Neurospora crassa OR74A: one gene and its partners. The protein of the gene in region 6 interacts with the protein of the main gene of each other region in a biochemical or structural test. Links are inferred from orthologs where the notes say so. Each region holds a gene or a part of one and is shown on either strand. Other genes may lie near its edges.

Region 1 (4,217 bases), on a different chromosome or scaffold from region 6:
TCAACTCATTGCGCGCAGATTGAAGTTTTATCTTCCAGAGGGCGTTCCAACAAGTATAGGAGCTTGATAGCCTCCCCATAGATTCGGCTGCCATGTAGCAAAATGTGCTTCACGAGATTTTCGGAAGTGAGACTGCCGACCCGTTACCACCCATTAAATGCCAGAAGGGCATCGTGGATCTGTCCAAGCATTGATTGGTTTGTCCCTGGATTCTCGGTCACCGCCAGAACGCAGACTTTGGTGAGATGCCGTAGTCAATCCCGTCGCGCAGCTGAAGACGAACACCTGCAGCGAATCTGAAGAGCAAACCGTCCTCCACAAAGACTGCATGTGCAATCTTGAATAGCTTGGTCAGAGGCACCTTTTGATATCAAGCGTCGTGTTGTGGATTCATGCATTGAATTCTCCACCTGTGCGCTCATGTCACTTTGCCGTTTTCAGGGCATCGTGTCATGAAAATCGCGATAGCCTGTTCAACCGAACTTGAGTTTGCTTTGCCCGCGCTCGACCTTCTTAGGTCTACCTTGTCGCTTCGGCATCGTGCTTGTGGATTTTTGATTGCCGGCACGCGAGCTAGACGCTGATGGCTGATTGACGAATGTCTGGCTGACACGTTCTTGTTCTTGGAGCTCTTTGGCAAAATGCCAGTCCTGATGGCTTTGCAGTTCCTCGGGGCTATCGAGGCTGGCGTTGCATCGCGAGCACGTCAATGTGATGATTGGGCCGGGTTCTGATTCAGACTTCCCGTTATATACCTCATCGCCTTTGCCCACCCCCTCTGAACCGGCCGGCTCACCTGACATGACCTCCTCTTTCAGGGTGCCCAACCTTTGACCGCTTTGACCACTGATGGCCGTATCGTCGGAGCCCAACCCAGGATTAGCACCGTGGGATAACTCTCTCTTTGCGAAAAATCGTTCTATCCCGCCGTTATCCAGGCGCCTTCGCTTCTCTGCCGGGCGGATCTCGGTTTCAGAGTCAACCGTCGCTGTCCCTGACCCCGTCTTGCTTGCCTGAGCCTCCTCGCCCTTCAACAAGAAAGCGCCAATGCCCATGTTTCCAGTGACACCATCCTCAAATCCTCCAACGCTAAGGCTGAGGTTGGAACATGGCCAAACCTGACCCTCGGAAACAATCTGGCTTAACAAGTTCCTGGCCAGCTCTAGCAAACTCTCTTCGTCGAGCTTACGGCCTTGAGGGATAGGACCCTGACGTGACCGGGTTTGAGTGCCGTGACGGTGATGGAGATTGATGGTCTTAGGCCTCCGCTTATTTTCCAAAACACCTTCTTCGACCAACCGGGAAAAAATGTCAGCGGCAAAAATGCGCAGCCATCTGACAGCCTGCTCGAAGGAGGTTATACTAGGACGAAAGGACTTGGCCGACAGCATCGACTTGATTTGGACGCGCGGGTTTACCTCGCTGGTATCGATCCCACGCACGGTGTTGTAGACCCAGACGCCTGTGTCATCGCCTAGCTTCGATTTTAGCTGCTCCACCGAAGCGCTGAGCAAGTCTTTGACCGTGTCTGTGTGAAACATCTGACTGATTTGTTCGCCCAGCTTGCCGCCAAGGTTCCGCATCTTTGTGAACTTGAAGTCGGACAGAAAATGCTGAATTGAACGATTCCGAAGCACCGTCTGTTGGTTGGGCTTTCGGTAAGCCGAGCCCAACTTGCTCAACAGCTTATTACAGGCTACACCTGCGGAGCACGTGTATCCAAGCTTATCTTTGATGGCTATCCGCACCTTGCGCACAATTTCTGAGCCTATAAGAATAGCCACGTCGTCCCAGTCCGGATCCTCAAGTTCAGCGTTTTCGTCTGGCAGGTCTACCAGCGCATCAGCCTGCCAGTCGAGAGCGGTGATGGATGGCATGGGTAGCATCTCGGTCGGGTCATCGTATGGGGGAGGGTTGGCAAGCTCGGGAAAACGTTCGAGCAGGATAGTGTGCACTTGTGCCGAGAGGTCCATAAACACCTCATCGATGCTCGCTTTCTCCACCTTTTGAAGATGAGGTGGGAGTTCTTCTTTGATGATAGCCAGAATCTTACGGGATTCAAGTCGGTAAGGGTCTAAGGACACTTTGTGCGTCGCCATGTTGGCCGCGGCATCCGGGTGGTAATCCCACTTGGCATCGCCTTCTCTCCATGTTGCAACGTGTTGATGTATAAGATCCGGGCAGAGCTTTTTTGCTTCCGACACGTTGCAATGCCGGCCGATGCCAAAGCTACGAGCAGGATAGTTGACTGCAATCAATCCCTGCCTATACAAGGTCAGTTTGACGTCAGAGAATGCCCAATAGGCACATTTGGAGACTGGGTTTACCATTGCTGAACGGCAACGGGCTTGTCGTCTGGTATCCCTAGTCGCACCATTTCTACCTGAGCGTAGAAGCAATCGAGATCCAGGTGAGCAATGACCCTGAGCGGACACGAAGTACTCGAGGCAGCGAGTTGCTGGATGTGACGATACGTGAACCGTGAACGCTTCATGCCGGGAGCGCCCGCGGGAGACAAGTCGCGAAAGGACTGCATATGGGGCGGTGACGACATGGCAGCGTATGGGCGGAATCTAAAGCCAAGGGTGTCGTCATTTTCATTCGGTCGGGCGGGCTATGAAGACGGGCCGGCTACGGCAATCAGAGTCGTGGTGATCGCGGATGGCCGAGAGACGTTCATCGGTGACGGAGGCGCATGAAGACGGCGTCGCGACGGGTGGTTGTGAGAGTGCCGAAGTCACGTCGAACGGAGCAAAAGCGCGCTAAGGTAAGGTGGGAACTGCCGCGTAGTCCAGTGTCCAGACTGCCCTGTGGAAACTGTTTGGAAGCTGACAGGATCGGAGGAAGTTCGAGCCGGGAGGTCCCCCACAGCGGGTAACTCGATAGATACATCCGCGCCTATCAGTGATGAGATCCCCACGTGCGGGAGTCCCACCCTGCAGGTCACGACTCTGCTGTGCCAACTCCAGTTACATAGCTATGTACCTCTGGAGGCGGTAAATCATCATCGAACTGAAATGCAGAGCCGCGAAGTCATCCCGCGTTTTAGCCTAACCCTTCAGTCCAAAAGGGCCCCTTCCCGCATATGCGAGATACGCTAGACATGTACACCTGACCTGAAGTTGATGTGGCAGAACGAACGGTCCACAATACAGCCCGTATTCTGCCCAAACACGCCAATGCCTACATCGCCTAGTAAGGCGCGGGCGGGGGCAGGGGGGAAGGGGGGTTACATGAACGGATGCTATCGATGTTGCGTTCGAGATATCTAATGTAGTGTAGGGACTTGCGCGCGGGGATACCTAGGCACCTTGCCGACTGCTCTAGTCTTGGAAAACTCGAAGTCCTGGGCTACCATCACATATCAACACCACCTCACGGCATCACGACGACAGGGTTCTCAACCAGTTATATTGTGCCGAAGTCGCGGCTAGAAGTATGTGCTTTGAACATACAATCGTCTACAAGCAAATGCGCATGGTCCATCACACGTTCGACGAGCGACTTTAGTCCTGCCCTGGAGAAAGAACGAACGAGATACTACAGCCAAATGGTCTCCTCCGATACTCTCTACGCAACCTGAGAATCGGGAACTTGAACCCAAATGACAACTCACCACCTGCATACATACTGAGTTACCATATGTTCCACACGTGGGGGTTATACGATGCAATGAACCCTACGATACTACCAGTTCGCACGATGCATCATTTTCTGTTATCATCGGTTATCACTCGTCCTTCAGATTGCACTCGGATTTCCTTCGGTTCCGTCCACATCCTGTCAGTCCATGTTGGTCTCTCAGAGTTCCACTGGAGTTGCGTCACGCTATTGAGATCAAGTACGCAGGGCTTACCATATTGGAGTCGGTTAGGTAGGAATCAAGCAGCGGCACTGCATGATTGCAATTGCAACAAGCGCCATGCTTCTGACCTTTACGTTCAACGCTATCGAACTTCCACTTTTTCAGGATATGGGTAGTAACAAGGACTGTGCTCGGCCGGCTCGAAAAAAAAGTTTCGTGTGGATGGAGAGGGTAAAGTCACTGAAGAGGTTACCACAAAGGGGAACATGCTGGGAAGTTGTATAGAAATAGTACCTGACTTCGTTGGTGAAAGGAAGAAAGAGCCTCGAAACACTACCTGCTCATACCCGGAGAAATAGCAGTTCGACACCATACATGAGTGCCGACCGTAAGCCAGCATTAAAGTATCTAA
Region 2 (3,952 bases), on a different chromosome or scaffold from region 6:
AGGTTTTATATACCCATCAACCGGAGGGGCACTTAGTTAGGTATGGAAATAGGGAAGGGAAAAACAAATGGAGACACACAAAAAAAAAGGGTTCTTGATCATACTACTTGTATGCGGACGGTTTCATGGTCTCGGATCTTATCTTCGTTTTCATTGCTGGTTATGGTTCGTGATGGGAATGCTTCGTTCACTCTTCAAGGGACAGGACTATAGAGTACATAAAGAATAGAGTGATTCGTAAGCTGTGAAAACACCACACCTCTGTAGTTATCCTTGATCTAGATCTCCGCGAAGCATTTTTTTCAGTGTCATCACCCCATTCACTCTTGATGCTTCCTTACTAAAACTCGTCGAAACCTGTCGCGCAGTGGATAGATCAGACACACAAAGCCCACCCGTATATTGCATGTGAACGTTGATCAGCAGTGTTGAGCATTTTGAGCTCCCTAAGGTATAATGTCATCATAAAGTCTCCAATGCATCCTAAGCAAGCCCAAACCATCCAGCCGTCGCCCACATTTCAAATGCAAAGGCAGCTGCTAACGAAAATCCACCCTGCCAACGACTTTTAACGCCCAGTTACGAAAAACCCAAAAATATCTCATTCCAGCCTACAGTCTCACCCCTATTTATTGTTGGGGCATGTCGTCATCTTCCTCCGGTCCTTGATCGAAAAGGAAGTTGGCGGCAAGCTCCTCGTCCTTGTCGCAAGCGAAGTAGGCCTGGATGGCCTGGTCCTGGGGAAAGCCCAGGCGGGTGAGACGCTCAATGGCATCGCGTTCCTCTTCTGTGACAGCAATACCGACAGAGCCACCCTCACCACCCTCGCCAAGGAGGTTCAGGAACTGATCCGAGTTCTGGGCGATCATCTGGGCAAGCTGAGGGTTGCCGGCACCGAGCTGTTGCAAGATAGGCTCCAGCATCTGGGGCTGCTCCTGTACAAGCTGACGCATTTGCTGGAATTGCGCGTTGTTGCGGAGGAAGTCGAGGTTACCAAGACCAGCGGCCTCGGCACCAGCACCCTCCGCACCACGAGCACCACGTCCGCCAGCGCTGTTGCCGAGCTGAGCGGCAAGGTCGAAAAGGTTGACTTGATCGTCATCATCACCACCGGCAGCAGCGGGGGAAGCCGCCTGAGCGGCAGCAGCAGGGGCAGCAGCCGGAGCGGCAGAAGGCTGGCGAGAGGCAGTTTGTTGCTGGAGGTTGGCGGGAATACCCTAAAGCTGTGTCAGTAAACCAGACATAGATCGGAAAGTGGAATGAGTTGTGAAACGTACGTTCAAGAGATACTCCACAGCGCGCTCGGGGTTGAAAAAGGCGGCACGCATAGCAGCGTCAATCTGCGAACGCTCGAAACCCATAGCCTCCATGTTGGCAATGGCCTCGGCGCGCTGCTCGCCCATGGCAAGGGCGTTGGCATCGCGAGCACCGGCAGCTGGGGCCGCCTCAGGAGCCGCAGCGGTTCTAGCGGGCGTCGGCGTCGAAGGGGCAGCGGCAGCAGCGCTGGAGGCCGCGGGAGCGGCAGGGGGAGCAGGTGTTGAGGCCGGGGCGGCGGCAGCGGGGGTAGCGGGGGCAGCGGCAGACGACGACGACTCGGCTGGCTTGGGGGCAGTGGTCTTGGGCTGCGCAAAGTGTCAGCTTCATCTTTGTACAAGGACGTGAGTAATAACGGGGGAAATAGTACCTTGTTCACGACGCAGACAACGAAGCCCTTCTCCTCGATCTTGTACGACTCGACGGTCTCCTCATCCTTCAAGATCTTACCTGTTGGGGTAAAGTCAGTATTCGGGAGCGGTATCCATCGTTTGAGAAGCAAGCGATGCTTACCGGAGTAGATAAGCTTCTGCAGCTCGGGAGCCCAGCCCCTCTCCTCGGAGATCTTCTGCTTGACCTTGGAAATCTGCAACCGGTTAGCTTCTAGCTCGCCAGCATCATGCACGTCTCCCGAAGCGACATGGGAGGCTCGCGACGCCGACAGAGCATTCGATTGTCGAGGGCTGTCACGGCGTGTTGGATGTCTCCATGACGTCGGCCTGAGGTAAAGGGTGTAAGGAAATGGGAGGCGACGAAGGGTAACCAACAGTCTCGGTAGGCTCGATCTCGAGCGTAAACTTTTGTTGTTTGAGGTCCTAGATGAACGAACAGTCATTGTTAGTATTTGACTATATAGACTTTGAGAGCTTATGGACAGAGGGAGCGAGCTCTGATCCAACCAGGCAGACAGGATTCAAAGAAGACGCTGGGTTGTTTCCGAATTTGCTGAGAAGCCATCGCGGTACGTCTGGCTCGTTGTCTGCCTGGCTGGCTGGCTGGCTGGCTACGTCAAACACTCGACATGGGCAAGCTTATGGGCACGTACCTTGAAAGTAACCTTCATGATGGGCAATCTGCGACGCAGCTAAACGGCTGCTACGTTGACACTGAGAGTCTGATGATGTAAGTAAAGTCTGTCCGGACGGGCGAGCTTCGTTGGGTTCCGAGTCGCGATGGGAGACAGCAAGATTTGTTGCAGTCGGCGGAGTTGGGCGAGGACGAGGAAAAAAAGTGGAAGTGGTTAGTTGGTTGCTGTGGTAAGGTTGATGTGTGTGGGAAGGCTGCCGCAGAGATGGCGAGGTGGCATACAGGGGAGGAGATAGTTGTAATCGCTGTGGCAAGAAATATGGAAGGTAGCAGGGAAGCTTGAACGTTTTACAGCGGCTTGTGATGACTGATGAGGCAGCTTTGAGGCGGAGAATTTGGGGTTTGTTCGCTTCACCTGAGTGCACTGAATGGAAGAGGGGCACAGCAGGCGGGTAGCCAGGTTCACGGTGTGCTACCTACGGCAGTGAATGGCTGGGGGGAAGCGGCAGGCAAAGTGCAGTGGACAGGCACAAGGCAGCGGCCATTGTTAGGCGGGGGGGGCTGCGCGGCATCTTGCCGCCTGGAGCTGGTGGAGAGGTCACAGTCGTCACGCTGCCATCCCGTCCGTCTGTACACACAACACAGACTGATTGATCCCATGGATCCATTCACTTTCCAGGTTGTGTTGGCCTTGTTGCGTTGAAAAACATGAATTGGTTTTCTTTGTTAGTCTTGCTTTTGAATGTCACTGAACTGATAACCACATGCTTCCGTTGGCGATGGAAGTTGATGCAAAATCAAAGGGGAATGTTTGATGTCATGCTGTGAGCCAATCCAAAGGACCCATCTTCTTTCATCTCTTTTTATTCTATTTGAATTTTTTTTGCGATGAAGAAGATGAAGTCATCGCTGATTATGGCAGTGTCACGGCAATACTAGGTAATAGATCTCCACTCATAAGCGCGTATAAAATGGGGCTGAAGAACACCTTCCATCTGTACCAATCATACGCATTGGTAGGCTCCCTTGGAAAGAGCACCAGATAAGATAAGGCCTCCGTCACGTTCGTGACCCGACGTGGATCGTGACATTGAATTGACTACGAGTAACCTTCCCTTCGGTTATCATCGCAAAAACGACGGAACGGTAGCATTGGGGTTACTTTTCAAGGCAGCAAACATGATTTGAGCCAGACATCGTTTTATTCTGGTTTCTCTCATCACCATTCCCAAGCTTCCAAGCTACCTACATCTCCATCGCAGTCATGGTCGGACGTCTAAGCATCATAGCTTAGATGGAAAATCACAGCTCAATGTCACCGCGCATATTTCGTGGGCACGATCTTTTGTTCTGACTTCTTCGGTTCTCATCCGCTACATCTTTCAGTCGTCCGTCTCGCGCATAGCGCAGAGAAGCATCTATCTGAATCCATCCATCATCTAGCCATCCTTCTATCCAACCATAGCCGAGCTTTTCTATACACAAATCCCACCTATCCAAGACCCATCTTTAGGTATGGAACTCAAGTCCAACGCCTCGCAATCAAAGGTATCATATTCACGTCCTCAAAACAAAATCCTCCTCCCCTCCCCCAAGATATGAAAAATACAAA
Region 3 (3,649 bases), on a different chromosome or scaffold from region 6:
TGGGTAACTTGCAATCAATTTTCAAGATACCTCTCTACGTTGTCAATTCGAGCTTTCAAGAGGCTACCGCTCGCTGTAGGTAGAGGAGCCTAGCCAAGTTCAGCTACCCACAATATATAAACAACCTCACCCCTCATGCAGATCATACGCAAAGCGTCAGTCCTACAACATAAAATCGTACCTATGCAAGTTATGAGAAGTCTTCCAAAAGAGCCATGTAGAGCTGGGTAAGTCGGACCAGGACGTACCATACAGACTTGAGAACCTTGTTTCCAGATTGCAGGGTTAAAAGTGTTCGGAAGCCACGTACACTAATGCTCTCTGACGGCCGCCAAAAGCATCTGACAGCCCTTTAACCCTGCGTTTTCTGGGCATTTACGATAGAGGTAGTCAGCCTGTCTTTCACTCTCACAGGGACCCTTGCATCCAAGGTATGCCTGTTAACGTGAGCGTGTATTAAACAACGCCGCAGTTCGAAATGTGCACGCTAGACTTGACTCTCAGCCTTAGGTATAGGTGATATAAATCATGTGGATGTAAGGCACCAAGCGGGGTCATGTACACTTTCGTCAAAGAAACAGAGGAAAGCTGAGAAATGCAAGACTCTCTGGAAACTCGTACATCTAAGCCGGCCGACATAACATGGTGAGCTTTTTGCAATGAAAGACACTATGCCATCTCTTCATCTCTAAGACAAAAGAAAAGAACGCTATCTAGGGCTTTTTGGGGTGAGTTGAGGTATCCAGGGACTGCCCTCGCCAGATGTGCTTGTGTTGGTATGATACGAGCGCCTAAACTCCAAACCCGACAATCGCCCTAAAGAGTGAGAAAAACCAAGCACTCCCGCTCTCTCCATTGCAGACAAGCAGGCTGACTCTCAGCCATCAATAGGCGAGAGATGCGGATATTTGAAATACAACAAAAACGCCCCGAAAGAACGACGCCTCCCAAATGCAATGTAATATCACGACATCCGTTCCACCCTCACGCCCTAAAAGGCCAAACCGCCGGGTATCCTCGAATGTGGATCATCTCGCAACTCGTCGTCGGTCGACAACTGACTGTTGATATAGCCAAGAGATCTGTATCGAACAGCCCAGTGAGCAATATCAACACCGACTTGCAGCACCCAGATCAATCATTGGCTTTTTGCCATTGAGGGCCCCGTGGTGATAAATGTCGTCACTATTCAATCCTCCCAGCTCTTCTCAACAGTTTCCCGGACCCTCTTGTGGTATTCTTTGCGGTTGTCCTTGTATAGATTGGAGGCTTCGACGTTTGCAGGCGATCCTGTGTTCGGGTCATTGAGCAAACTAGTCAAGACAGTTTTGTCAGCATAATAACACAACGCAAAATGAACGTCAACAAGATATTATGCAGTCGTACCTCTGAATACTGGTAAGAACAGCCGCGACGTCGTACGTAGGACTCCAGCGGTTCTGAAGGATATCGAGACAAAGTTCGCCAGTGGCGTAAACATTGGGGTGGAACATCTCGCTGATGAACTTGACCGAAGGAGGCTTATTGGGATACTGCTCCTCAAAGTGCATCACCAGGCGGAAGGTGCCATCTTCGAAGGGCGTATCGGCGGGTCCGATGATCACGGCGTTCCTATATGGAGACTCATGTCAGTCATTGCCATGCCGGGGGTCGACCGCCCATAACGACACCGCAGCAAAGATCGTTCTCCTTACCATGTCATAACATTATCGGGTACGGGAGAGGCGGAAACACCAGCGGGAGGATCGGTTTGCATGCGCTGTCGAGGAACATGGTGAGTATATTGTGCTCATGGCGGCCAAGTCATCAAGCGGTGTGAACCCAACGGGGTGGCTCATGATGTCTCGCACCTTGAAGTCTCGCATGAGCCGGCGGCGGGCAGCGGTTGACATTTTGGCTTTGGTGATGGATGATGAAGTCGGCCCAGGCGTATGGAGAGAAAGCTACAAGGTTGATGGAGTACGTAGGATCGATGCGATACTTTGTTCGAAGTCGAGATGGGTTTCGTGGTTGGAATAGCGAAGAGACAATCAAACGAACTGATTTGAAGGGGCGGAGATGAATGACGGAAACCAGCAGAGCCAACAAGTGAACGCGCATTAACGACCGCTATCTTATCATACCCAACTGATTGCCCGGAGGGGGGCGTCACAAAGAAGCTAGGAGAACGCGCGCCGAGGGCAGGGGCAATGAACAGTGACTGCCCCGGTTGACAATTGCCGCCGGATTGTTAATAGCACTTTTCTGATTCTCGGCCAATTACACTTGGGTATGAAGCGACTGGTGGCTCGTGCGCGAGGTGACTGCCAGCTGATGGAATGGGATCACACAGTCACACACCTTCTCTCACGCCACCGCCGAATGGTTGTCCAGCCAAACATCTAACTAATCGAACTGACAAATGAATCCCAAGAAAACATCAGAAATTGTAGCATGACAGCCAATTGTTCGGGTTGAATCAGTGATTTGATCAAGCTGTCTCCTGTGGCATCCCCCGGCAGCTGCCCGAAAACACTTCAACGCCGCAATAGGATCGTTGCTTGGAACCAACGCAACATCTCAAACATATCGCGTTGGGAAGCTCGGCTTTTGTTCCCGCGTGTAAAGTGGTTCGCTTCTGCCCAACATCCAAAGACGCGCGCGGGATGGCAATTGCAGGGACAACCGCGACTGGGATAGATTGTTAAGTGATGCGAAACGACTCTTGAGCGTGCAGTGCCCTGGCCTTTTGATCCCTGATTTTATGCGGGCAGTATCCGGTACAGCTAGGTATGATGCCGGCGCTGGGCAACAGGAGGCTGCGGAAAGAGTGAATGAACTGCTTGGAGAGCATCCACCCCCGAATCGATCCGTTGACCGTTTCCCCTCCGCTACGGCTTCAACTCTGGCTCCATCTGATGTTTCTCCATCCGCCCGTGGGTACGGCACTCATGGGCTCATGACCCAAGCAGGGCATTCTTCAGTTGTTGTGGATGAGGAGCTTCCCCTGTCGGTCAGCGGCAGGCTCCACGGGAAACCCCGGATACCAAGCTTCTGTGTCCCTTGCGCCCGTTGGGGTCCCCGCGGAGGAACCACGGTGGCGGCCACTGTTTGGCGCTCAATTGGCGGGGTGAAGCATCGCTTTGGTGTGAATCCTCTCCACACATGTACCGTCACAAGCCGACCGGTGCCATCATGGCATCTGACAAGTTCCGAGGAAAAGAAAGCGGGAAGGAGAGGAAGAGACCACCTAGCTATCGCCTCCCCAACTGGTAGTTTTATTAATCATTTTTAAACAATAGAAGAAAGTCTTCCCTGTGATTCTGTCCCTACTCCCAATTATTTCCTGCTCCTGTTTTTGTGTTGCCTCTCCTGTTGTGCTGTTGTTCATTCCCCGTTCGGCCATCTTCCTTTCTTCCTTCTCGCCAGATTCCCCTCCGACATCTGCGCTGTGCAGTACCGCCCCTACGTCCTGTAACTCATCGTCACCAGCTTCCGACATCAGAATGGTTCTTAGCCACGCCAGGACAGCCGCTGGCTCGGCTTCGCGCACTTCCCGTGTCGCTTGCGCTCGTCTTTTTTCCACCCAGTCTGCTCTCCGCCAGCAGATTCAGGATGCCTACATTCTCAGTGGTGTGAGGACACCAACGGCCAAGGTAAAGCGCTCCGT
Region 4 (3,253 bases), about 370 kb from region 6:
GCCCGGAGTGGCAACTCTGGTCCCGTCCTCTTTGCGCGCGGTAATCCTGCCGCCGGCGGCCACTTCCATGTTCACAGCTGTCGGGTCGGGGGTGGGAGCATCGTCCATGCCTTCATCTAAATCACGCAGTACGTTGAGATCGCTACTATCGGCTGCCTCGTCTTCATCATCCGACAATTGCCTTTCGTCGGCACATTCAAGCGCATTTTCAAGGTCGTCCTCCTCCGGAGGTTGACGTGGGAGAGAGCTATCAGATGCAGCTTGCTTACGAGCGGAGCGTCGCAAGCCACCCTTTTCCTTGGATGTAGCGGCGTCTGGCGTCGTCGGAGTTTCGGTAGTGGGTTGGGACTTGGATTTGGGCTTGCGTGAAGACCGCGAACCAGATGCTTGAGCAGGGGCAGCCGCCGGCGGTGGTGCAGGGGTCGATCGGCTGGAGGGTGGCAATCCTCTCTCCGCGAGACGGGCTGCCGCTGCTGCCGCCCCCATGAAGCCCGAGGCACCCATGGCGGCCAGAGCTCTAGTCACAGCATCTCGCCTAGAGGCTCCGTGAGGACGATCCGACAAGCTAATTCTGGGGCGCAAATAATCGTCCAGTGACTTGAAGGTCGTGATAGCGTGAATTGACACCATGATGTTACGGTAGGACCGGGGGATATCTGAATCTTCATCGGCCACAAGCTTGAGGCGTATCTGCTTAGCCAACATTGACGCTGCCGTGCTACGGCTCCCGTCGAATGAGTTGTGGTGAGCTGTGATCACCTCAAAATGCTCAGACCTGCTCAGTAAATCTTGCAACTTGTGGATCAAGACACTGAAAGGTGTTGCGGGTGAGTCTGCGGTGGCTGTCTTGGGCTTCGACTTGACACTGTATCCCATGAACACCTGCAAGAACGCATTTTGTGCTGCAGCTGCCATCTCCTCGTCGGGGTTGCTGAAAACCTGTTCCAAGACCCGAACAACTCCAGAGCCAAGAAGTTCCGCACTGGTTACGCTCTCGAGGACGTCAGTATCGAAATAAGAGACCAGCTTTTGAAAAAGTAATGTTCCGTGCTCCATGACCGGACCACCCGGTTTACGGCAGAGATAAAACTCTTCGATCTCGGTTGCAAGATCTGATAGGCTGGCTAGAATCTTGCTGGCCTTTTTCTTCATGGCTTTGCCCTGCTTCTCGGTCTCATACATCTCCAAGAACTTCTTTGCAGCCTGCCGGATGCTCGACTTGTACGTGTTTGTGGGGAAATCTGAAAGGTATCGCGGGGGTCCGTCCAGTGACATGGTCTCTCCTTCGGAGCTGACGGGTGATTGATCGTCGTCCTTGACCTCGTTTTCATTTCCATCATCGTTCTCGTCGTTCTCGTCATTCTCTGTGTCTTCCGGCTCATCTTCATCGAGTTCTTCACCGCCCTCTTCAGCCCCGGATTCATGTTCGGAGTGTTCAACATCCTCGTCATCTGCTTTGTCCTCTTCCAAGGTTTTTGGGTGTTCTTTGTCGGCGACACCTTGGTCAGGTGCAGAGGGACGGCCAGAGACACCGGTGAGAGATTCCCCAGCTTGGTTCGTTTCCTCCTTGACCTCTTGCTCGGTAAGAGAGTGTTTTCTCTTTGGCTCAGGCGCATCAGCTGCCAGCTTGGTGATTTCGGCAATCACGCCTTCACGGTAAAGCTGATAGCGATAGACTGTATCCAAGCGACTCATGAGCAACTCAGTGGCCTGTAATGCCAGCCCAACCAACAGAGGATGGTCTTGCTGGGACAAAATGGAGGCCAGAAAAGAAGCATAAGGGACTGATCTGAGTGCCTCAGACAGGATGTCCTGGTCCAAGTTGGAGAGCATTTTGAGCTGAGCGGCCAAGACCTTTTGACGGACAGTGAGATTGACGGTGCTTGAAAAGGCATCCGTGAGGGTTGGGAATAGAATCAGGGCGAATCTCCGAACCTCCTCCTTGCAGCCCTCCATGTGTTCGATACGTTTTTCGTTTGCAGTCCTTCTCCTAGTGCTCTCCCCAGATCCACCCACAGGACCTGCAAACGTGCCCAATTCCACGGTATAATTGATCGACGAAGGGTCGCGCAATGGCACGCTAGGCAGCAGTTCGCAAATGACGTTGAGTGTCTCAATGATCTGGTCCCGAGGTCTATGAATCAGAGCCTGCATTATGAGCACACTATCAAGCTTGGAAGCAAGGTCGTCGTTCCCACTCGGCGGGGACACGCCCGTAAGGATCTGATAAAGCGTCTCCACTACATTGAGCTTGAAGAGTTCAGCCGACAGACGGGGACTCGCCATTGCCGTGAGCGCAAGAACCCGTAGGAACTGAGTGTGAATGTGCGGGCTGATCAGGTTGGTGGAGCCTGGAAGTAGCAAACGGAGAATGGCCTTGAGCAAATCCACATTCATAAGCTCTTCCAACTTTGTCGGGTGGTACTTGAAACTCTCGGCAATGCGCGAGACACATAACGAGGCCTGCTCAACGATGCGCTGATCGCTACTCCCAAGCACGTTCAACAGGATGGGCATGACACCTAAAATTTCCGGAAAGGAATCTTCCGGGATGTTGCGACAGCAGTTCGCAGCCGTGGTAACAGCGGAGCGTTGCGTGCTGGTTGCGAAAAAGTCCAAATAAGTCAGGCAGGCAGTCAAGCCGCCTTCGCGCATGACGCTTGTGGGATATTCCACAGAGATTTTTTCCAAAGTGCTAAGTGCTTGCTCGGCTAGGTCGATGAAGGAGATCTGTAGCAGTTTCTCGCACAGAATATGGACTGCGCCCCCATAGACCAAGGCCGATGTGCTTCCCGGCAGGGCCTCCATCAGGTTCGCGAGGCAACGACAGGCGACAAGTTGGATTTCAGGGTTCTCCTCTCCAGTAATCTCGTTAGGTCTCATCAGCGCTACCAGTTCAGGCACAACCTGGTCGGGTTGGAGATGCCCGCTCAGTTGATCTTCGTTTGTCATGAGCAGAAGGGTGGATAGTTCATGCAGGGCCATAAGTTGCATTGACGGGTCGTCCTTCCGCTTCAGATCTGCCATTATTTTCCGCACCTGAGCCGAGACTCCCGACATAATTCCACTCAGATGCCTCAGTGTATCCTGAAGGCTGTGGGGATGACGCCCATGACCACCAAAACCAGTGAAGGGATCGTCATCTTCATCGTCATCATCGTCGTCGTAACGATGGTGGTCATCGTCGTCTTCATCATCCTCGTCGTGCTCGTCACTATCGGTGGGAGGACTCTCCTTCGGAGGGGGAGGTGGC
Region 5 (4,168 bases), on a different chromosome or scaffold from region 6:
CCCATACTAACACACGCAATTAGATACCTCCAAGCCATTGGAAGTTATGCATAGGTCCTGGGTTCGACCCCCAGCGCGACCACGGTTTCTAATTTTTTTGCAACTTTTCCCCCTTCGCTTGATTTCCATTTGTTTCCTTCCCCCCTTTGCATCCATGACTTGCCCCCAAGACCTCTCCGTGCTCCGGTATCTCGACGGCGGCACCCGACACGATTGAGCTACAGCTTCCTTATCGTTCAACGTAACCCGCCTTTTTGCCTTATCGCTTCGCTTGGATGGTGTCACTGCCAAGGGTATCCCGGGAGCAGCTCCGTCTCCCCATTTTGGAAGTCTGGATATCCACGGCGGCGGAGTCGTAACACCTCATCGTCACAATTCTCACCATGTCTGCCATGGAGTTTTGCTGTCACATTTTGTCACATAGGTATGCAATCGCTTCAAATCCATGTTCATCATCAACAACAGTAGGCATGATACCTATTCATTCCGCCCGTATGTTCATTTCGCTTGTCAGGAGAGCCTACTGCATTGTGCCTACTGTGTGGGATCTGGCGGTCCAAACTCTCCCAAGTCCCAGCTATGAGTGCCATCTCGAGCCGCTCTTGATTCATCATCTATTACACATCTAGACTTCCGGTTTCAACACAAACCAAAAACCCCAAACTCCCCATTCCGCTATTGATGCGCTTCTTCCTCCCCGTTTAGTTGTACTGGGCATAGGCCGCAGTAGAGTTGAACTTGAGGTTGCCCTTGATGACCTTGTCCACCGCACTCAAAAAGTCCTTCTCCGACGCCACCTTCCTGCGCGCACGGATGGCGAACATGCCCGCCTCCGTGCAAACACTACGCAACTCAGCACCCGTCGCGTTCGGGCACAGGCGAGAAATGAGCTCCCATCGGATATCGCGCTCGACTGACATGCTCTTGGCATGAATGCGCAGAATGTTGGCACGACCCTCGAGATCGGGGAGAGAGAACTCAATTTTGCGGTCGATACGTCCGGGACGCATCAGGGCGGGATCCAGCGTGGAAGGACGGTTAGTAGCGAACATAACCTTAATGTTGCCACGGGCATCGAAACCATCCAGCTGCGTAATGAGCTCCAACATAGTACGCTGAACTTCATTATCACCACCCGCGCCGTCATCGAACCGGGCTCCACCAATAGCATCAATTTCGTCAAAGAAGATGATGCAAGCCTTCTTAGTACGGGCCATCTCGAAAAGCTCGCGGACCATGCGGGCACCCTCACCGACGTACTTTTGAACCAGCTCGGAACCAATGACACGGATAAAGGTGGCGTCTGTCCTGTTGGCAACGGCACGGGCGCAAAGCGTCTTACCGGTGCCGGGAGGTCCGTATAGCAGGGCGCCCTTGGGGGGATCGATACCGAGGTTGACGAACCGCTCTGGCGACAAGAGGGGCATCTCCACGACCTCGCGTAGCTTCTCGACCTGTTCCTTGCAACCACCGACATCGCCGTATGTGACGTCAGGCTTTTCCTCGACCGTCATCATGGTAACGCTCGCATCGATCTTGGGAGGTAGCGGAAGGAGAATCTGATACTTGTTTCTGTCGACGCCGACGCGCATTCCTTCCTCGATATCTGTCGGGCTGACTCGCTCGCCCAGCTGGACAACAAACTTGGCGATCTGCTTGACGTTGATGACGTACTTGCTCTTCGATTCGTCCTTCTCGTCAGGGATGATCTTGGTGCACCGCGCTACCTGAAGCGGTTGCTCTTCTGACATACGCTGACGGTCGGCTGCCACATCCCAAAGGTGAGGGGGCGCAAGGCCGGTATCTGATTCCTGTAGACCAAAAAGTATCACTGGTCAGCTAGATGCGCTTCGCGGTTTGTAGGGTAGCCACCGCAAGACTAGCATACCTTGACGCCAATCTTCTCATCCACGCTCTGCTGCTTCTCCTTTATTTGCTGTTCTAGCTTCTTGATGGCAGCACCGTAGGGCGCGGCGCCGTATGTCTTGAGGACCTGAATATCCCTTGACGGGGGTTAGACGACTTGTCCGTTGCGGTGGTAGTGGTGGGCGGGCTCTCTTGGGCGGCAACATACTCGTCTGAGAGGGGAGTGATCTTCTTCTCCTCGACTTCATCGTCGCCAAACGTTTTCCTGTACTTCTCCCAGTTTTGACCTGTGGCAGAAGGCTATTCCCGGTGTCAGTCGTGCAAAGTGGCGTTGCACCTTTGGGTAGGGCGACTGCAAGCATACCATGATGACGGCGGGTGGGAATGACGCTTCCCGTTTGGACTAGGTAAGGCGAAGAAGGGTGGGTAATCGAAAGGATCGGGTCGGTAATTAAAGTCGCGATGGCTCCGGGCGAGAGATTCCTTGTTTGGCGTGGGTCGTTCGTGGGGTTGTAGAGATCTCGGCGCGGGTTTGATGTGGTGTGTCGGGTTCAAGTTGGTTTGATGGGTGTTCAGTGCTTGCTTGATGTGATGGATGGATGGATGGAGATGGTTCGTCAAGGTCCAACTGCCACCACTCACTGACAGAGGGTCGAAGCTCAATCGTTGCCGTAATCCATGCGCTGCCTTGCGGGCGAGGGAGCTACGGGTGGGTGCCACCTTGACAGCACCTACCTAACCCTATCCGGTTAGACTGTGTAAAGTTACAGCGCCGCAGGTACCTTTTCCACCGCCCACCGCTCAGCAAAAAGCAGCCGACAAAAAATTACCACCTGCCAGCCCACCTTTGCGCCCGCGCCAGCACTCACTTTACGGTCCCGCAGTGGAAACATTGGTACGGAGGGGACGGTGTGTGTGTGTGTTTTTGGCCCATTGATTCCAGACCAGCAAAGAAGGAGAAGAGGAGAGCTCTGCCTTACAACACAACAACTGCACTGCACCCAGCGCAAGCCGATTCCCCAAAACTGTCAACTCGAATTTCCGGCAGTTTCTGATCCCCCCATCCGACCTCCCGTCTACTATCTCCCATAATCCCAAATACCAGATCAAACAAGCTTGCACCATGGCGACCGCACCGGCAGCTACCCAGACGGCGAGCAATGCGACTTTCAGGGTGCGTCCCGCTTTTTGGAACCTGACCCCTCGATAGGAGTCGGTGCGAAAGCTCCAGGAGGAGGGGTGAAGCTCTGTGGCAAGCCAGTTGCTGATAGCCCACCATGTAAACAGGACAAGGAGAAGCCCATCGCCGTTCGCTCATCCAACATTGTCGCCGCCAGAGGTATGCCTACAACATTTTGTCATTCCGTCTTGTGTCGTTGTTGTCTGGGGTGCTGACACAGAGACATGCACCAGCCGTCGCCGATGCCGTCAGAACGTCGCTGGGACCGCGGGGTATGGACAAGATGATCATGACTGGAAAGGGGGAGACCATCATCACCAACGACGGCAGCACAATGTTGAAGAGCATGTCGGTCATGCACCCCACAGCCAAGATGCTCGTCCAGCTGTCGCACGCCCAAGATGTCGAGGCCGGTGATGGCACAACCTCGGTCGTCGTCCTTTGCGGTAGCTTGCTCGGTGCCGCCGACAGGCTACTAGGCAAGGGCATCCACCCCTCAGTCATCTCCGAAGCTTTCCAAAGAGCCGCCGCCGCTGCCGTAGACGTCCTCCACGACATGTCGCAACCCATCTCCCTCACAGATACCGCCTCGCTCCTCCAGGCCGCCAACACTTCGCTCTCCTCCAAGATCGTGTCACAATACTCCAACCTCCTCGGCCCCATGGCCGTCAACGCAGTCACCAAGACGATAGATCTCAAGACCGCCGAGAATGTCGACCTCAAGAACATCCGCATAATCAAGAAGGTCGGCGGTACGATCGAGGACAGCGAGCTGGTTGATGGTCTCGTCCTTACACAGCCCGTCATCAAGAGCGCTGGTGGTCCCGTCAGGATGGAGAAGGCCAGGATCGGTCTTATTCAGTTCCAGCTCAGCCCTCCCAAGCCTGATGTGCGTATACCTTTCTGGCGACCATAACCTACCCACCTTGCCTGCTGGCCCTAAATCGCCCAAACACTACCCTTTTCGTGCTTTTACTAACAACTCACTCTTACAGATGGAAAACACCATCTCCGTAAACGACTACCGCCAGATGGACAAGATCGTCAAGGAAGAGCGCACCTACCTCCTCAACATGGTCAAGAAGATCAAGAAAGCCAAGTGCAACGTCCTCTTCATCCAGA
Region 6 (3,997 bases):
GTTGGTTCTGGATGAGTGGAAAAATGCATTCCAACTCTTACGATAGAGCCTAGGCCAGACGAGTACATAAGTACTCAAGATCAATGAGTGAGAAGGATTGCGAACGGCAACCAGGCACCTGCATTGAACTTGGTTCACTACACGCATTGACAATAAAAAGTATCATGTACACCAATCTGATGACGTTCAGGGTTGTCATTTGATCATGGGATGTCACAACCCGAGCCGAATGGGTGTATTGAACGGACCGTAAGGACGATTCCCGCATTTGCGAAGACGGGAGTTGTAGGCGTGACTGCGCGGGAGTCCCCGGGATCCCGTGCAGGAGGTGATGCCGGCCCCGGTCTCACCCGAGGTGGTTGGCAGGCCTAGTAGCGGGCAGGGCGGAACTCGTCACTTGGCTCCAGGAGTTTGTGATGTTGTGCTGCACAGCTTACCTCCCTCTACTGTACATATTACACTCGTGCGTAAAGGACCCAGCATTCTGATCGATGATGGTAACTCGCGATACTATGGATCATGCGTGAACGGAGGCTAGAGACCGTCAATAGCGGAGCGACCCTCCTAAAGTGCGGGGCGGTGGAGCCAAGAAAGAGGCCACGATAATGCTGGGCGATAACGGGAGGAACGGAGTCACGACATCATCGGTCGGGGGCTGGTGGGAACCCTTATGGCCAGGCACTGCAGTCAGGAGGTCTCCCATCTGTCACCGGTCTTGAATCCTTACCGGCGTCAACAGCCACGGTCGGTCGGAAAGCCGATAGAAAAGCGAAAGAGAATACCTGGTAATAGCTCCCCGTTCCCGTCCGGTTCAGTTGTCGGTGTCCCGCCATGAACACGGAGAACTAACGAAGCTCATCGTCGCACCAGACGGAGCGCTTACCTCAGCAGCCTTTGCAAAGGTCGGTGGAAGAACCAACCGTGAGTCCGTGACACCAGCTGAGCATTCTGTGGTTTACAGTGCCAGCTGACTCGCCCCTTTACTGTCTGGAGCTGAAACGATGCCTGGCCGGGATGCACCTCCCGTCCGGTTGTTCTTTCGTTCGACGACCAACACCTCGACCCCTTTGGTGACACTCTTTGTGGTGTTGGTTAAAGACAAAGTCACAGGTCTCTTTGATTTTATATACTCATCTTCATGTCTTCTGGTCATTTCCTCCATTGCTGGAAAATTGCGATCCAACCGTTCACTCTTCCCTGTTTGCCTCTCGGTGCCCTCGATCGGACCACGTCATTGACCGCTCACTTCGTTGGGGGGTTCGCTTATCAAATGCGGGGAACCAGCAAGGTGCACGTCGGTATTCCATGATGCCAGCTGGACTGCTGCTGTGTGAAGCATCGAGCAAGAGGCCATCAACAACCTGATAGAGGGAACAATTATAATAACATGGAGAGAAGCTTGTCAAGATGCTGGCAAAGTAACGAGAAGTCGAGATGGCACTCTCGGATTTGTAAACAACTGAAACTCGAAGGTCCGTCGTCCAGCCACATGCAGATCATTCTTTGGCTTATTCATCCAGAGAGAACCTAACTGAAGCAGGGCAAACAGCCCGGCTGAGGTGACTGACGCATTGACGGGCAAACGGCTGGGTGAGTGCCCGCCACTGCAGAAGGCGTTGACAGTGCGATCAATCAGCCGCGGTCACTGTTGGGGGGGATGTCCAACCACTCCTGCCAACGGGCAACAGCCAACAGTCAAGGGGGAAACTGTCGTCTGACTGGCTTCTTCTCGCGCCTTCCCTCCACTTCTCTGTCACTCCCAACCGCCAAGTGGCTTGTGCGTGGCCTGTCAGTGAAGGTGAGTGACACACCACTCACACCGTGGCAGGCGTTGCAAACGGACCAGTGACGATCGACTTGGGACCTGGCACCTTTCCGCTTCCACTCCAGTCCCGTCACCTCTTCCCCTTCACTCAGCCCCCCCGCTTCGCTTCCCTTTCCAGGCAGTGGAAGCCTGGCCCCTCCAAGTTCGCCATCCTGATTCCTGCCACTTCCGCCGCAGCCAGCACCTGAACCTACTTATTTAATCCTCCCCGCCCATCTGCATCCCCGATTCCATTTCTTCCGCTTTCACCATCTCTCTCCATCGCCATCATCGCAGGAGTGTTCATCCACGCACATATCATTCCCGCCACTCGATTCTAGTCATTTCGCTTCATCCATCAACAGTCCATTCGTCCACTGCACAACCCCCATCATGCAGATTTTCGTCAAGACTTGTAAGTTATCGCACGCTCACCGCATCATCACTTTACCATCGATCGACCGATGCTAACTATCTCTTCGCAGTGACCGGCAAGACCATCACCCTCGAGGTCGAGTCGTCGGATACCATTGACAATGTCAAGCAAAAGATTCAGGACAAGGAGGGCATTCCCCCCGACCAGCAGCGCTTGATTTTTGCCGGCAAGCAGTTGGAGGATGGCCGCACCCTTTCCGACTACAACATCCAGAAGGAGTCTACCCTCCACCTTGTCCTCCGCCTGCGCGGTGGTATGCAAATCTTCGTCAAGACTCTTACCGGCAAGACCATCACCCTTGAGGTGGAATCGTCCGACACTATCGACAACGTCAAGCAAAAGATCCAAGACAAGGAGGGCATTCCTCCCGATCAGCAGCGTCTCATTTTCGCCGGCAAGCAGCTTGAAGACGGCCGCACTTTGAGCGACTACAACATTCAGAAGGAGTCTACCCTTCATCTCGTTCTTCGTCTACGCGGTGGTATGCAGATTTTCGTTAAGACGCTTACCGGCAAGACGATTACTCTCGAGGTTGAGTCTTCCGACACCATCGACAACGTAAAGCAAAAGATCCAGGACAAGGAGGGTATCCCACCTGATCAGCAGCGTCTCATTTTCGCTGGAAAGCAGCTCGAGGATGGTCGCACCCTCTCCGACTACAACATTCAGAAGGAGAGCACCCTGCACTTGGTGCTCCGTCTTCGTGGTGGTATGCAGATTTTCGTCAAGACCTTGACGGGCAAGACGATTACGCTGGAAGTCGAGTCTTCGGATACGATTGATAACGTGAAGCAAAAGATCCAGGACAAGGAGGGTATCCCGCCTGACCAGCAGCGTCTGATCTTTGCTGGTAAGCAGTTGGAGGATGGCCGGACCCTCTCTGATTACAACATTCAGAAGGAGAGCACTCTTCACTTGGTGCTGCGCCTCCGTGGCGGCCAGTAAGCGGATTGTCGTCTTTGTTTCTGATTCTTGATGACGAGCAAGGGTTCATTTGGGCGTTCAGCGTTTATTGGGTTACTTATTGCATCCATGGGTTGGGAAATGATGACAACCATGAAACAGGGCATATCTAGCCGAATCTAATGGCACACGCTTCATACATACAGCGATGCCATAATAAAGACTATATTTACGGTCTCAAACATGATGTCTCTTGGTGATTTGCTTGTGTCTCAATTCGTGAGCTTTTGTTATTCCCGTCAACCTGTCATCTGGTCAATTGGGGATGGAGTCGGACGTGTAAGTCAAGATGGTGGTGCAGTGGGTTGGTACACACCGTGCGAGGTGACCGTTGCGTGGCCGAAAGTGGCGCCCTTTTTTGGTGGACAAGATGCATCATACGTGAAAGATACGTACCGACCGCCGAGTTCAGTTCGCGCTAGTCCGGCCGTGGAGCCCTCCCTCCCCCCCTGTGAAGGACGATCCAACGTCCAACGTCCAACGTCAAGTTCGTAGTTGTGGAAGGTTGAATGTGAAGAGGACATCCGGAAGGACCTCTCATCCTCTCTAATCACCAGGGCAAGAACCATCACTGCATGGAGTTTGGGCACACATGAACCTGCAGAGATAGGCATCGGCGACTTGATTGACGTAAGGCCCGCGTCCAAGGTGTCTTAATCGACTCTTCATCTTCTTGATCCTTCTCTGTCCTTCTCTTGCTCTTCCACTCTTACAGTCAACGCAATACTCTCAATATTACACTTTCATCAGATTTTTCATCAAAGCATTGTTGTTTCTCGACCATCACAACAAGG
Region 7 (4,090 bases), on a different chromosome or scaffold from region 6:
AGAAGGTGACTTCCCGTGTCCGTATCGATGTGAATGGGTTGGTCGGATGTCGTGACAGAATGCAGAAACTCGTTTGGACTTGTTCGGAGCAGGTGTCCTCGGGGTGGCCGGCTCCCGTTCCGGACGTTTTCACGTGAAGTTCCCGCTCCGCGGCAAAGGGCCGAAGCGCACAGACCCCTTGCTCAGCGATCCCCAATGGCCGGGGCTCCACCCCCGATATTTTTTGAAATTGGAGTTCATGCAAAAGCACGATCAATGCAACTCGAACCTTTTTTTCCCACAGCCAACAAATCCAAGGTAGATTATGTTGAATATTCAGGTGTGAATGCCACTGCAGCCCATCCCATCGTGTTAAACCATCCTAGGATACGGAACGAAGTAGTCAATATCAAGACACAAGCAGGTGAGCAGGAACAACAGGAAGGCTTCGGCATCTGCCGGCGACATCATGCACGACTATCGATATCTAGCAAATACCATGGAAGCGTGGCTTGCGGTCGAGTGAGCTTCGCCGATTTTGTGTTGAGAGGGCTCATAGGACAACTGATGCATATGGCTCGATGGTTGAAAACGTGCCAATAGAGAGGAGATTTCCATGTTCGCAAAGCTTGACAAACTGATGATAATCCGTCCTGCACAGTCAGTATATGTAGAAGTGATTGGCTAACGACGGGAATCGGATCCAGACCGAGGCGACGCATGGATTTGTGAGATCCTCGAAGCAGGCCTCGAGTCAAGTCAACGAACCGTTTCTTAACTCGGGCAATATCGATAATGAATGAAAAGTCCCACGGAGAATGGCAACGTTGCGGCGCAAGGAATGCAGCTTAGCGTACTTGTACCAACGAGGGGGGTGAGGCTGAAAGCATGGACCACCATGTGCACTGACTGCATCATCATGTGCGTTCAGTGCCTCCTTCTGTGGTGACACCGTGATGGTTCGGGCGGTACAATACCTCCGCTGGGCTTATTTGTATGCGGGAGATGCCAAGAAGGCCTTCAGCCTGCCTACCTACCTAGTACACTACCTCTAGTACCTAGGTACAGACGTACCGTACAGGTCACCCTTCACTGTTTTCACTCTACCTTGAGGTTGAATACTTGAGGTACGACTAGTAGTGTAGTGTAGCATCCGAGAAACGGGCACTCCCCGCAGTCCTCCCCTCTGGACAGGAAGCCTTGGCACCCAGAAACCCCCAAGTAGCGTATGGCTGATGGGCAGCGCATCCACATCCACACGTCTGTGCTCCACGGCCCGCATCAACCCACCACCACCACCCGCACCCACCACGACAACACACAGGCAAGGAAGCGGTTCCCTCTGCCGACATCATCACGGCCGGCATTGCCAGTTCAAAGCAGTAGGAGTTGCGTGTAGTTTCGTATTGCCCAAGTCTCACCAACTGCTATTGCGATATCCTCGGTATACCAAGTAGTGGAAACACAGGCAATTTGCTGGCAGTGACAATTGGTAGGCTCTGGTTACACAAGCGGAAGCGCATTTCACCCACTGCAGTGGGAATCTACGTCTATAACCCGCACGCAGCTGCCTCTGATAAAAGTCTAGCTAGATTGACTGACCCAATCCCATCTCTCAAACCTACAGCGCAAAGACCGGCATCATCCAACGAAAGTCACGACGGCACTACTACTGCCACCAAACTACTACCACCAGGCTACCTTGGTCAGATACGCATCATCTTCGTTACAGCCGACGGTCAATCGCACGCTTGCCCCACGCGCATCCGAACCTCTGCGTTTCCCTAGCCTTCAGATCGGTCCCCTCCTCTGCAGGAAATACAGCTCTGGTTGTGCCGCCTGATATAGCGCATCTACCTGGGCCGCCGACATCACCTCCAAGTCACCGTACGCTCGCTGTTTTACAGACTTCAGTTGTTACACCGCTGCTCTGTTCTCGACTCATCGCCTACCCGGCCTCGTCGCGGCCTTGAAAACCCGACTCTACCCTCCGAGGACCATGACCTTCGCTCTCGTCTAGTCGCGTACCATGACTGCTGTTTCTCTTCACGCCTCCCACCCCGGCTCCGCAGAATTTGGCCAGAGACAGCCCTCTGCTCCCACTCCCACCTCTGGCCGTTACGCGAGGCCCGGCTTTCCGTCATCAACTGCTACATCACCATCCCGCCACACAATGAACAACCCAGCTCGTCAAAGTTCAGTCACAATGTCACAAGTCCATCCTCAGAGGCCAGAAGACGGCAACCAGCGCGTCGCGACAAACGGGACCTCTCATCCTGCTGCCCATAACCAGCTGCCACTTCGATCCAACATACAGAGACGCATGTCCGATTCCTCACCAGCGCCCTTGTTTCGACGCCCCTCCAGCGCCCCCGACGACAATAACCAAACATCTCCTGGAACCACGTTGCATGGCGGGCAATCTGATGACGACGACCATATGCCTGTCGCCCGGCCGGCCAAGGCGCCATTAACGCGGTCTAAGAGCGAATACGGACTGCGGTTGGAGAGGGAAAGCCCCATCGAACAAGTTGACGAAGAGTACCATGATTGGGGTGCCAGGCATGGGTTCGAGGACCATTATCAGTCTGAAGAAGTCATTTCTCAGCTTGCAAATGTACGTTGATTTGTGTCTCTGCCGTTGGCTGGGGTGTCACTAACCGTGCGCTGAGCAGAGCTGGTACATGTACTTTACCGATAAGCGACATGAGACAACAGGGAAGCCAAAGACACCCGCTTTCGAGATCCAAGACTGGCGTATGCGCGATCGCCTAAAAACAGTTTCTGCTGCGATAGCAGTATGCTTGAACATAGGAGTGGAACCGCCAGATCAACTTCGCACCACCCCGGGTGCCCGGCTTGAAGCTTGGCAAGATCCGACGGTGCCTCCTGTTTCCAAGGCACTGGAGAATATTGGGAAAGCTTTGCAATCTCAATATGAGACCCTTGCTATTCGGACGCGCTACAAGCAGTATTTAGACCCGTCCATCGAAGAAACCAAGCGGTTCAGTGTCTCCCTCCGAAGAAGTGCCAAGGACGAGCGTGTGCTCTTCCATTACAATGGGCATGGAGTGCCCAAGCCAACAGCCTCGGGAGAGATCTGGGTTTTCAACAAGAACTACACGCAGTATATCCCCGTCTCTCTCTACGACCTTCAGCAATGGTTGCAGGCGCCCACGATATATGTGTGGGATTGCTCCGAGGCTGGCAATATCCTCACCAATTACCACCGTTTTGTTGAGAAGCACGAGCAAGAAGAAGAGGAGGCGGCACAACGGGACCCAAACCACGAAAAGATTAACTTCCGTCCCTACATCCATCTGGCAGCCTGCAACGTCAAGGAGAATCTGCCAACCAACCCCGACCTGCCTGCTGATCTCTTCACTTGCTGCTTGACTACCCCTATAGAGATGGCACTCTGGTTCTTCTGTCTGCAAAATCCGCTAAAAACCAAAATATCTCCTGAGCGAGCCAAGAAGCTGCCAGGGCGGCTTCAGGAGCGCCGGACGCCTCTCGGAGAGCTCAACTGGATTTTCACTGCCATCACAGATACCATTGCATGGACCACGCTACCACGCCATCTCTTCCGCAAATTTTTTAGGCAAGATTTGATGGTTGCCGCTCTTTTCCGAAACTTTCTCCTCGCACAGCGTATCATGCCTGTGTACAACTGCCATCCCCAGTCGTATCCAGAGTTGCCAGATACACGTCAGCATCCCCTTTGGGAGAGCTGGGACTTGGCCGTCGATCTGGCTCTTGCCCAGTTGCCGGCCCTCGAGAGAAAGGAGAGTGAAGGGATAGAGTATGAGTACATCAACTCGTCATTCTTCGCGGAGCAGCTCACAGCATTCGAGATCTACTTGACTCGAGGGGATGCTTTGTCCCAGAAGCCACCTGACCAGCTTCCAGTGGTTCTGCAAGTGTTGCTAAGTCAGCAGCATCGAGTACGAGCTCTGGTCCTACTAGCAAGGTTCTTGGACCTTGGCCCTTGGGCAGTACAACTGGCGCTCAGCATTGGCATCTTCCCGTACGTCTTGAAGCTCCTCCAGTCGGCGGCACAAGACCTAAAGCCAGTCATGGTGTTCATCTGGACTCGCGTTCTTGCGGTCGA

The links.
Region 1: the proteins of ubi (region 6) and polh are reported together in a solved structure, tested with the Saccharomyces cerevisiae proteins (2 studies listed by BioGRID, with this or other methods). The link is inferred for Neurospora crassa OR74A from reciprocal best matches to the Saccharomyces cerevisiae genes UBI4 and RAD30.
Region 2: the proteins of ubi (region 6) and rad23 form a complex in vitro, tested with the Saccharomyces cerevisiae proteins (14 studies listed by BioGRID, with this or other methods). The link is inferred for Neurospora crassa OR74A from reciprocal best matches to the Saccharomyces cerevisiae genes UBI4 and RAD23.
Region 3: the proteins of ubi (region 6) and mus-8 form a complex in vitro, tested with the Saccharomyces cerevisiae proteins (2 studies listed by BioGRID, with this or other methods). The link is inferred for Neurospora crassa OR74A from reciprocal best matches to the Saccharomyces cerevisiae genes UBI4 and RAD6.
Region 4: of the proteins of ubi (region 6) and NCU09866, one has a biochemical effect on the other in vitro, tested with the Saccharomyces cerevisiae proteins (3 studies listed by BioGRID, with this or other methods). The link is inferred for Neurospora crassa OR74A from reciprocal best matches to the Saccharomyces cerevisiae genes UBI4 and UFD4.
Region 5: the proteins of ubi (region 6) and rpt-1 form a complex in vitro, tested with the Saccharomyces cerevisiae proteins (2 studies listed by BioGRID). The link is inferred for Neurospora crassa OR74A from reciprocal best matches to the Saccharomyces cerevisiae genes UBI4 and RPT1.
Region 7: the proteins of ubi (region 6) and NCU00621 form a complex in vitro, tested with the Saccharomyces cerevisiae proteins (2 studies listed by BioGRID). The link is inferred for Neurospora crassa OR74A from reciprocal best matches to the Saccharomyces cerevisiae genes UBI4 and KOG1.

What each region holds. Positions count from the first base shown.
Region 1 is NC_026501.1:1,955,564-1,959,780, forward strand, and holds the start of polh (sister chromatid cohesion protein Eso1), read right to left. Parts: upstream 2,801-4,217; 5' UTR 2,555-2,800; coding exon 2,328-2,554; intron 2,266-2,327; coding exon 474-2,265; 3' UTR 1-473. Other genes in the region: NCU16343 (hypothetical protein), read left to right, coding at 3,643-3,981. UniProt on the Saccharomyces cerevisiae protein: DNA polymerase specifically involved in DNA repair. Plays an important role in translesion synthesis, where the normal high fidelity DNA polymerases cannot proceed and DNA synthesis stalls. Plays an important role in the repair of UV-induced pyrimidine dimers.
Region 2 is NC_026503.1:4,431,844-4,435,795, forward strand, and holds rad23 (rad23-like protein), read right to left. Parts: upstream 2,801-3,952; 5' UTR 2,378-2,800; coding exon 2,360-2,377; intron 2,130-2,359; coding exon 2,082-2,129; intron 1,901-2,081; coding exon 1,828-1,900; intron 1,765-1,827; coding exon 1,685-1,764; intron 1,623-1,684; coding exon 1,278-1,622; intron 1,218-1,277; coding exon 630-1,217; 3' UTR 130-629; downstream 1-129. UniProt on the Saccharomyces cerevisiae protein: Plays a central role both in proteasomal degradation of misfolded proteins and DNA repair.
Region 3 is NC_026504.1:1,993,974-1,997,622, reverse strand, and holds mus-8 (mus-8), read right to left. Parts: upstream 2,216-3,649; 5' UTR 1,893-2,215; coding exon 1,851-1,892; intron 1,760-1,850; coding exon 1,695-1,759; intron 1,612-1,694; coding exon 1,387-1,611; intron 1,314-1,386; coding exon 1,190-1,313; 3' UTR 501-1,189; downstream 1-500. Other genes in the region: NCU09732 (acetyl-CoA acetyltransferase), read left to right, coding at 3,486-3,635. UniProt on the Saccharomyces cerevisiae protein: E2 ubiquitin-conjugating enzyme that accepts ubiquitin from the ubiquitin-activating enzyme E1 and transfers it to a E3 ubiquitin-protein ligase.
Region 4 is NC_026506.1:2,771,752-2,775,004, reverse strand, and holds part of NCU09866 (thyroid hormone receptor interactor 12), read right to left. Parts: coding exon 1-3,253. UniProt on the Saccharomyces cerevisiae protein: E3 ubiquitin-protein ligase which accepts ubiquitin from an E2 ubiquitin-conjugating enzyme in the form of a thioester and then directly transfers the ubiquitin to targeted substrates.
Region 5 is NC_026501.1:8,944,359-8,948,526, forward strand, and holds rpt-1 (26S protease regulatory subunit 7), read right to left. Parts: upstream 2,801-4,168; 5' UTR 2,234-2,800; coding exon 2,231-2,233; intron 2,167-2,230; coding exon 2,075-2,166; intron 2,004-2,074; coding exon 1,889-2,003; intron 1,812-1,888; coding exon 702-1,811; 3' UTR 444-701; downstream 1-443. Other genes in the region: NCU02839 (T-complex protein 1), read left to right, coding at 2,990-3,040, 3,154-3,205, 3,280-3,935, 4,042-4,168. UniProt on the Saccharomyces cerevisiae protein: The 26S proteasome is involved in the ATP-dependent degradation of ubiquitinated proteins. The regulatory (or ATPase) complex confers ATP dependency and substrate specificity to the 26S complex.
Region 6 is NC_026506.1:3,143,847-3,147,843, forward strand, and holds ubi (ubiquitin), read left to right. Parts: upstream 1-1,197; 5' UTR 1,198-1,472; intron 1,473-1,540; 5' UTR 1,541-2,197; coding exon 2,198-2,219; intron 2,220-2,289; coding exon 2,290-3,185; 3' UTR 3,186-3,737; downstream 3,738-3,997. UniProt on the Saccharomyces cerevisiae protein: Ubiquitin exists either covalently attached to another protein, or free (unanchored).
Region 7 is NC_026501.1:7,805,790-7,809,879, forward strand, and holds the start of NCU00621 (TORC1 growth control complex subunit Kog1), read left to right. Parts: upstream 1-1,290; 5' UTR 1,291-2,008; coding exon 2,009-2,596; intron 2,597-2,654; coding exon 2,655-4,090. UniProt on the Saccharomyces cerevisiae protein: Component of TORC1, which regulates multiple cellular processes to control cell growth in response to environmental signals. Nutrient limitation and environmental stress signals cause inactivation of TORC1.